Linked DNA regions of Saccharomyces cerevisiae S288C. The protein of the gene in region 1 purifies or fractionates together with the protein of each later gene. This does not show direct contact. Each region holds a gene or a part of one and is shown in the gene's direction. Other genes may lie near its edges.

Evidence for each region.
Region 2: the proteins of NOG2 (region 1) and NSA2 purify together in Saccharomyces cerevisiae (affinity purification with mass spectrometry; 11 studies listed by BioGRID, with this or other methods). This does not show direct contact.

The regions. Positions count from the first base shown.
Region 1 is NC_001146.8:720,620-725,423, reverse strand, and holds NOG2 (putative GTPase NOG2), read left to right. Parts: upstream 1-2,311; coding exon 2,312-3,121; intron 3,122-3,212; exon of another isoform or gene 3,213-3,486; intron 3,487-3,653; coding exon 3,654-4,304; downstream 4,305-4,804. Other genes in the region: RNA-binding ATPase activator ESF2, read left to right, coding at 1,118-2,068; CCR4-NOT core DEDD family RNase subunit POP2, read left to right, coding at 4,777-4,804. UniProt on the Saccharomyces cerevisiae protein: GTPase that associates with pre-60S ribosomal subunits in the nucleolus and is required for their nuclear export and maturation.
Region 2 is NC_001137.3:412,386-415,725, reverse strand, and holds NSA2 (rRNA-processing protein NSA2), read left to right. Parts: upstream 1-1,546; coding exon 1,547-2,332; downstream 2,333-3,340. Other genes in the region: small subunit rRNA maturation protein LCP5, read right to left, coding at 172-1,245; RSP5 (NEDD4 family E3 ubiquitin-protein ligase), read right to left, coding at 3,108-3,340. UniProt on the Saccharomyces cerevisiae protein: Involved in the biogenesis of the 60S ribosomal subunit. May play a part in the quality control of pre-60S particles. Under normal, rapid growth conditions, high levels of NSA2 would allow the progression of pre-60S particles through the ITS2 processing.

The DNA.
Region 1 (4,804 bases):
GCTACCTCGATTCTAAGTTATGCTGCATTGACTTTATTGTGTGATATACATATCGATGTACTAGAAAGGGTTTGGTTTGGCCAAGTTTTTTATTATGAGGGTGCATTTTTTCTGTTTTAACACATTTCTCATGATCCTAATAGAAGGTTGAGTAGAGATGTACATAATATTTTGCGGAAAGTTTCGACACGTTCATTAGGTTCTAAAAAATTATTATTTTTCATAAGCTATTGAGATCTTATCACCTTGCTCTGTAATTCTAAAGTTGTTCTAAAACCGCAATTAATGTTTCAATTTTGGCGCTATTAATAATGATGGATACTCAACGAGGCGTACCAGTAGCATTTTGCCATCTTAACACATTAGCAAACGTTGCTATTATTGATCCTTCCATAAGTAATTTCACACATCCATTTTCGTCCCTAAGATAAAACAAAGTCTCACAATTCGTATATTGATATTTCAAACCCCAAAGCCTGTAGCCTTTTGATTATGACCGACTTCCCAGACGTGGCCATATTGATAAAGGTGCTTTCTGATCAAAGTTAGTATTAAAGAAAGGGTAAAATTCGTAATATCGTAATATTGTAATATGAACCAAAAACGTTCACAATGTGTAGGATGCACTACCAAATAGGTTGCGTTGTAGTACTCATCTCTCGGTTGCGCGACTAGAAAGTTACTAGAAAACTCCGGAATTCCTTATAATATACTGCAATAATGCACATGTATCTTTTCAGTGCAAATTAATTATAGGAACAAACAGATAGCGACAATTCTTTAAGGGCTGCTGGATTGACAACCCCTTCATCGACCATATTTGATTAGCCAGCCACCAAATAGCGTTTCAATTGACAAACTACATTATCTCGTGAAGAATATTTAAACGGTGATATTGGGTCTGTCTGATCACATTTCCAAAGGCAATGACGTGTAAATTTTTTCTTTCTCTTGTTTTATTATTTTGAATTACTTCGTTATAGCCAGCTTTTCTCACATTGCGCAGTAAAACTTTCGCTATTAAGATTTTGAAAAATTTCAACCTGACAAACTACCCATTGCTATGTAAGTACAAAGCAAACAGTTTACTGCAGCAGAGTGAAGTAAATTTTTACGCATGAGTGAAAAAGTAAATAGTGACTTTGAAGACTTTTCCTCAGATGAGGAAACCGATCAACATAACGTCTTAATTCAGACCAAGAAAAAAATTTCTAGTAAGGATGATATCTTCAGTAAGAAGGTAGAAGACATCGAAAGTGAAAACGAGTCAGACATAGAAGAAGAGCAAAAACAAGAAGAAAAAGAGGATGTAGAACAACCAGATAAAGAGAATGGAGAAAAGCTCGATCGAGAAGTAGAAGAACAAGCTTCGTCCACCACTTCACTGGATTTAAAAACAGAAAAACTAAGGCAACTGGTAAAATCAAAGGCCGCCAAGAAGTCTAAACACAAGACTGGGGTGGTATACTTCTCCAGTATTCCACCTTACATGAAACCTGCAAAAATGAGACAAATATTAACTCGTTTTGGTGAGGTAGATAGACTATTTCTAAAGAAAGAGGACGATCAAAAGTACAAGCAAAGAGTTAAAGGTGGAGGAAACAAGAAAAACAAGTATGAAGAAGGTTGGGCCGAGTTTATTAGGAAAAGAGACGCCAAATTGTGTGCGGAGACGTTGAACGGGAACATTATTGGTGGCAAGAAAGGTACTTTCTACCATGATGATATCCTGAACGTGAAGTACCTCCCAGGTTTCAAATGGGCAGATTTGACTGAACAGATTGCCCGCGAGAACGATATCAGACAGGCCAAGTTGGAGATGGAAATCTCGCAGGCCAACAAACTGAACGCGGAATTCATTAGAAACGTGGAGCAAAGTAAGATGATACAAAACATTAAGAACTCTAGGAAGCGCGCCGGAAAAGAAGGAGAGTCTGCAGATTCTCACCCTCACAGGGAATTTAAACAACGTCGTGTGGAAACAAGCCGTGCCAATGCTCCCTCTGATATCAAGCAGCAATCCTCTGGGTCCAAAGACTTGGGTAATGTTCTCACCAATTTACTATAATATAGAATCAATAACAAATATATAAACACAACCTGTCATTTAGCACGTTTTTTTGCCCGATGCTCATCGCAAAAATTTTTCGCTTGAAGAAAAATTTTTCACTTTTCTTCTTTTTGGGCATATAAAGAAGCGTAGAATATATAAAAGATATTTACTACTTGTTAGTACTTTCCCTTAAGTGTTAACTTTGAAGATCTGTTGACTTGCAGCAAAACCACTAAATATCAGGGGAGGAATAATACAATGGGTACTGGTAAGAAAGAGAAATCTAGACGTATTCGTGAAGGTGACACCAAAGATGGTAATCTTCGTGTGAAGGGTGAAAATTTCTACAGAGACTCCAAGAGAGTCAAATTCCTGAATATGTACACTAGTGGGAAGGAGATCAGGAATAAGAAAGGTAATTTAATTAGGGCCGCTTCTTTCCAGGACTCCACAATACCGGATGCGAGGGTCCAACCAGATCGTCGTTGGTTCGGTAACACAAGAGTGATATCTCAGGACGCACTGCAGCATTTCAGAAGTGCATTGGGTGAAACCCAAAAAGATACATATCAAGTTCTTCTGAGAAGAAATAAGCTTCCCATGTCATTGTTGGAAGAAAAGGACGCAGATGAATCCCCAAAAGCCAGAATTTTGGATACCGAAAGTTATGCTGATGCGTTTGGGCCCAAAGCCCAAAGAAAGAGACCACGTCTTGCTGCATCCAATCTAGAGGACTTGGTCAAGGCTACAAATGAAGACATTACCAAGTATGAGGAAAAGCAAGTCTTAGATGCCACATTAGGACTAATGGGGAACCAGGAAGACAAAGAAAATGGGTGGACCTCCGCAGCAAAAGAAGCTATTTTCAGTAAGGGTCAATCCAAACGTATTTGGAACGAATTATATAAAGTCATCGATTCGTCTGACGTGGTAATACATGTTCTAGATGCAAGGGATCCATTGGGTACCCGTTGTAAGTCCGTGGAAGAGTATATGAAGAAGGAAACACCACACAAGCATTTAATTTATGTTCTTAATAAGTGTGATTTGGTACCTACCTGGGTTGCAGTATGTTAACTTTTTTTTTTTTTTTTTTGATTCTTTCCAACCAAGAGGATAGCACGAGAGATTTTTTTTTTCGATAGAGTATGATTTTTATTACCAAACCTTTTTGTCAGGGTGCTTCTCTATCCGTTTTAGGATAAACTTATCTACAGAAGTGTCTGTTACTGTTTTGGAAGAGTAATACTGTTCGCTTATCCATATTTCCCCGTTCTGGGGAAGCCTCATGGGTAAATTAGAAGGACAACCTTTGTTTTAAAGGTATACCTTCGCTTTTTAGAACAGCGAGGATCTTATGAGTTGAGCTTTTGTTATTTGAGACTTTATCTCGGGCTCCATACAATATGTTCGTAGTAAAGATCCTCACAATTTTCTACTTTTTTTTTTTTTTTAGTTTAATCCACTCTTCGAAACAATCAATCTCGGCTATAACAATGATTATTACATTCTCTTGGGGCAAAAGATTACCTATTATGAAACAAAATGTATTTTTTACTAACAGAAGGTTTTTTTTTTTCAATTCTAACTTTACAAGTAGGCAGCTTGGGTCAAACATTTGTCAAAGGAACGTCCAACTTTGGCGTTTCACGCATCTATTACCAACTCTTTCGGTAAAGGTTCGTTAATTCAGTTGCTACGTCAGTTCTCACAGTTGCATACTGATAGAAAGCAAATATCTGTAGGGTTTATCGGCTATCCAAACACTGGTAAATCGTCCATCATTAACACATTGAGAAAGAAAAAGGTGTGTCAAGTTGCACCAATCCCTGGTGAAACTAAGGTCTGGCAATATATTACTCTTATGAAAAGAATTTTTTTGATTGATTGTCCAGGTATTGTGCCGCCTTCTAGTAAAGACTCCGAAGAAGACATTTTATTCAGAGGTGTTGTCAGAGTCGAACACGTCACACACCCAGAACAATATATTCCAGGTGTTTTAAAACGTTGTCAGGTAAAGCACTTGGAAAGAACTTACGAGATCTCAGGATGGAAGGATGCCACGGAGTTTATTGAAATTCTGGCAAGGAAACAAGGTAGATTACTGAAGGGTGGTGAGCCTGATGAGTCTGGTGTTTCTAAGCAAATATTGAATGATTTTAATAGAGGTAAAATCCCTTGGTTCGTCCTTCCACCTGAAAAGGAAGGGGAAGAAAAACCAAAGAAGAAAGAAGTTGAGAAGACGGCATAGAGGTAAAAACGGACAACCGGTGTATAATATTAATTTAAGATTACAAGTGATTTTTTTTTTCTTTTTTTTTGTTATTTTTTTTTTTGTTCTTATTATATGGCAGCAAACATTCTTGGGGAAACAACATAGATGGGTAATTATTTAGTTTATAAAGTATAATATTCCAATAGAAAACTTAAGTTCGGTAATGATATAGCCCTCTCTATAGTATAAGGTAAATCTCATTATACCAGTCATTCCAAACGGAATTCGGTCCTTACCCGCTGCTCGCTCTTTTTTCATCATTATGATATTTTCTTTATTGAGTCTTTTCAATTATAGTAGTAGAATGATAACTGACAAGAAAGATCAGTTTGAAGTTTATTAGCGTGTCTCGTTATCAGGGCTTCCTTGTTTTTCATACTGGAAATACTTCGAACGATTAGAAACAGGCAACTCAATTTTATACATTTATAAAGGGTCAAAAAGGATTATGCAATCTATGAATGTACAACCGAGGG
Region 2 (3,340 bases), on another chromosome or scaffold:
GGGACTAATAATCATAAAGGCAATGGTGCCTAAACCTCTCACACGTTAATGTCGTGAAAGCCAAAATTCTTGTTTTTAATAGCTTATATACCAGTGCCCTTCATTTATATTTAACTTTTAAATATTAAGTCTATAAACGCTTTAGGATATAAGAAAATAAACTTTTTGTATCTACAGTCTCCTTTGAGCTCTATCCCAGGCAGAACGAGTCTTCTTGGCCCCACGTCTCGAAGTGCTATCTTCCAGCTTCCTCTTTGAGCTGAATATACCAAAATCTTCACCACCGATAACGTTCATCCTTGCATTTCTTTCTCGTTGCTTTTGCTTCCTTTTTTCAGCTTTATTTGTAATATTCAATCTGGTAAAATTATCTTCTTCGAATGAAGTGACTCTACGTTCCTTCTCTGTGTCTCTCAAAGATTTGATACCGCCTCTTCCATGGTTCACAATGTCAGCACCAATAGATGCACTCCAGTCCGGTTGGTCCGATGACTCTCTAATATATTCTTCCATGGCTTGCATACGCGATTTGTTACTACGATCTTTGTGTTCTCTGGCATCGAATCTATCTTCAAAATGCGTTTGTTGCGGTGGTAGAACAGCCGTAATCTTTGGTGGTTTATACACGCCAGTCTCATTGTCATCGTTTTCTTCCCCGTTTTCTTGCTTAGCCGTTTCCTCCACCCTGTATGCTGATGATTTTTTATTTGTGTTGATAATTCCAGAGGTATTTGGCCTGTATGCTATTTCATCCTCACTAGACTCATCATCTTCGCTATCGTCGTTGCCGCTATGATTCACTAAGGTAGATTTTTCCAGTGCACGCTTCTCAGCGTCTTTATATTCCTTTTCCATTTTCACATATGCTCTAGTCAGCTTGTCCAATTGGTAAGCCAACTTTTTTTCTAGTGGTTTAACACCACGCTCTAATACCACACGGTGTTGAATAGAGCGTTCACGTGCATCCATAGCAGAAGGATCTTTGCACTCGTCGTCTAGCCTATTGCCTATAAGCATCAATAGAGAATTTATGTACCCTAGCATGCTCCCATTTTTTAAGGATAGCAGCGATACTTTCTCAGCAGGCTTCTTAGCGTCGTAAAATAGATGCTCATGTAGTTGGTTACTTTCAGGAATCTCATCGGTCGCAGAATTACTATAAATCCCAGACAACCTCTCCAAGGATTCTGATGTCGCAGTGAGCGAGCCGTTGATATCTTTTAATAATGCATTAAGTTCAGACATTCTTGGATTTGTGTGTTAGTTGACAATTTTAATTTCTTCATCTCTTTTGACACTTTAGAATGGTATAGCTCATCGGTTTCTTTTCTTCAACCTTGCAGGAAAGGCGTAAAAAATTTTATGTCGTCGGCAACGGTTCTAGTAACAATCCGATGAAAAATTTTCCGGACAGCGATGAGATGCACTTTTAAGACAATTGAATGGATTAGGTATCAGTTAGAGAAGAACTTGGTTTTCGTATCTGGCGTTTTTATCTTTAGTCAGTAGTCAGTCTCGTATCAATACTGATATATACAACGAAACAATGCCTCAAAACGATTATATCGAGCGTCACATCAAACAGCATGGTAAAAGATTAGATCACGAAGAAAGGAAACGTAAGAGAGAGGCAAGAGAGTCTCATAAGATTTCTGAACGGGCCCAGAAGTTGACTGGTTGGAAGGGTAAGCAATTTGCTAAGAAGAGATATGCTGAAAAGGTATCAATGAGAAAGAAGATTAAGGCACATGAACAATCTAAGGTCAAGGGTTCATCCAAACCATTGGATACCGATGGTGATGCTTTGCCGACATATCTATTGGACAGAGAACAAAATAACACAGCCAAAGCTATTTCTTCATCGATCAAACAAAAGAGGTTGGAAAAAGCTGATAAGTTTTCAGTTCCGTTACCAAAGGTTCGTGGTATAAGTGAAGAAGAAATGTTCAAAGTTATTAAAACAGGTAAATCTAGATCCAAGTCATGGAAGAGAATGATAACGAAACACACTTTTGTGGGTGAAGGTTTCACTAGAAGACCAGTTAAAATGGAAAGAATCATCAGACCAAGTGCGTTGAGACAGAAAAAGGCAAACGTCACTCATCCGGAATTAGGTGTAACTGTCTTCTTGCCAATTTTGGCAGTTAAGAAGAATCCACAATCTCCAATGTACACTCAGTTAGGTGTTTTGACTAAAGGTACCATTATTGAAGTTAACGTTTCGGAATTGGGGATGGTTACTGCTGGTGGTAAAGTTGTCTGGGGTAAGTATGCTCAGGTCACAAACGAACCAGACAGAGACGGCTGTGTCAATGCGGTTTTGCTTGTATGAGCAAAAAAGTGCTCCGTTTTTTTTTTTTTTATCTCGATGGTTCAAATTAGGTTTACTTTTAATTTAATAATACGATATACGTCTACAAGCACAAAAGAACAGGTATATAAAAAATGTACGCTCTGTCCTGTTCGGGTTTCTCTTTTTACTTCTCGTCATTCTCTGTACAATATAACAAATCAAGAATTTATTATCCGGTTCTTTTTTCCTCACGACAAATAACCGATACTCTCCGTGTGTAGGTGACTGGCAAGAGAGGGATTGCCTAGTACGCTCGTTTCAAGTATGTACCTCACGAGAGCAATTTCAACTGTAGTATAATACCCAGGTCACTATTCAGTTTTAAAATGCAAGAAAATTAAAAAACAAAAAACGTATGGTTGTAAAAAGCAGGGCACATTATATGTATATAAATAAAAAAAAAAATTAATAAAATCTAAAAAGAGGATATAAAAAATAAGAGGCGTAAGGCAATATAAATTATTGGTATCATGCTCCTTTTGAAAAGGAAAACCTCCTCTTATGGCGAACTTGAAAAGAACTTTGCGTAATCATCAAAAAAAGCACTTCACGTTTTCCTGCATTTTCTTTGCTGCTTTCCATGTTGCTGTAAAAACAACAATGATTAATCATTTCATGAGCAACTCAGATAAAATTAACAAAAAAGAGTTTTCTCTTTACTATTGTTAGCTGAAATATAAAACAAGATGATTGAGGCAGAAAGAATGTTGGGAAAACGGACACCATAAATAAAAAAAAAATTGGTGCGGAATAATCATTCTTGACCAAACCCTATGGTTTCTTCCACGGCCAATGTTAGCTTCTGTTTCATGCTGTCATAATCAACGTATTGTGGCAAATCAACTCTGTTAAAACATGTGTGAGATTTTGGCAATTGTTGTACTTCACCAGCTTTTTCAATAGTGAATCTTCTTGGACCATCAGAGCCTTGCAAATCTTTAAACCCGTTGACAGGTATACGAGAAGTACCAGTGGTGAACTGCAATA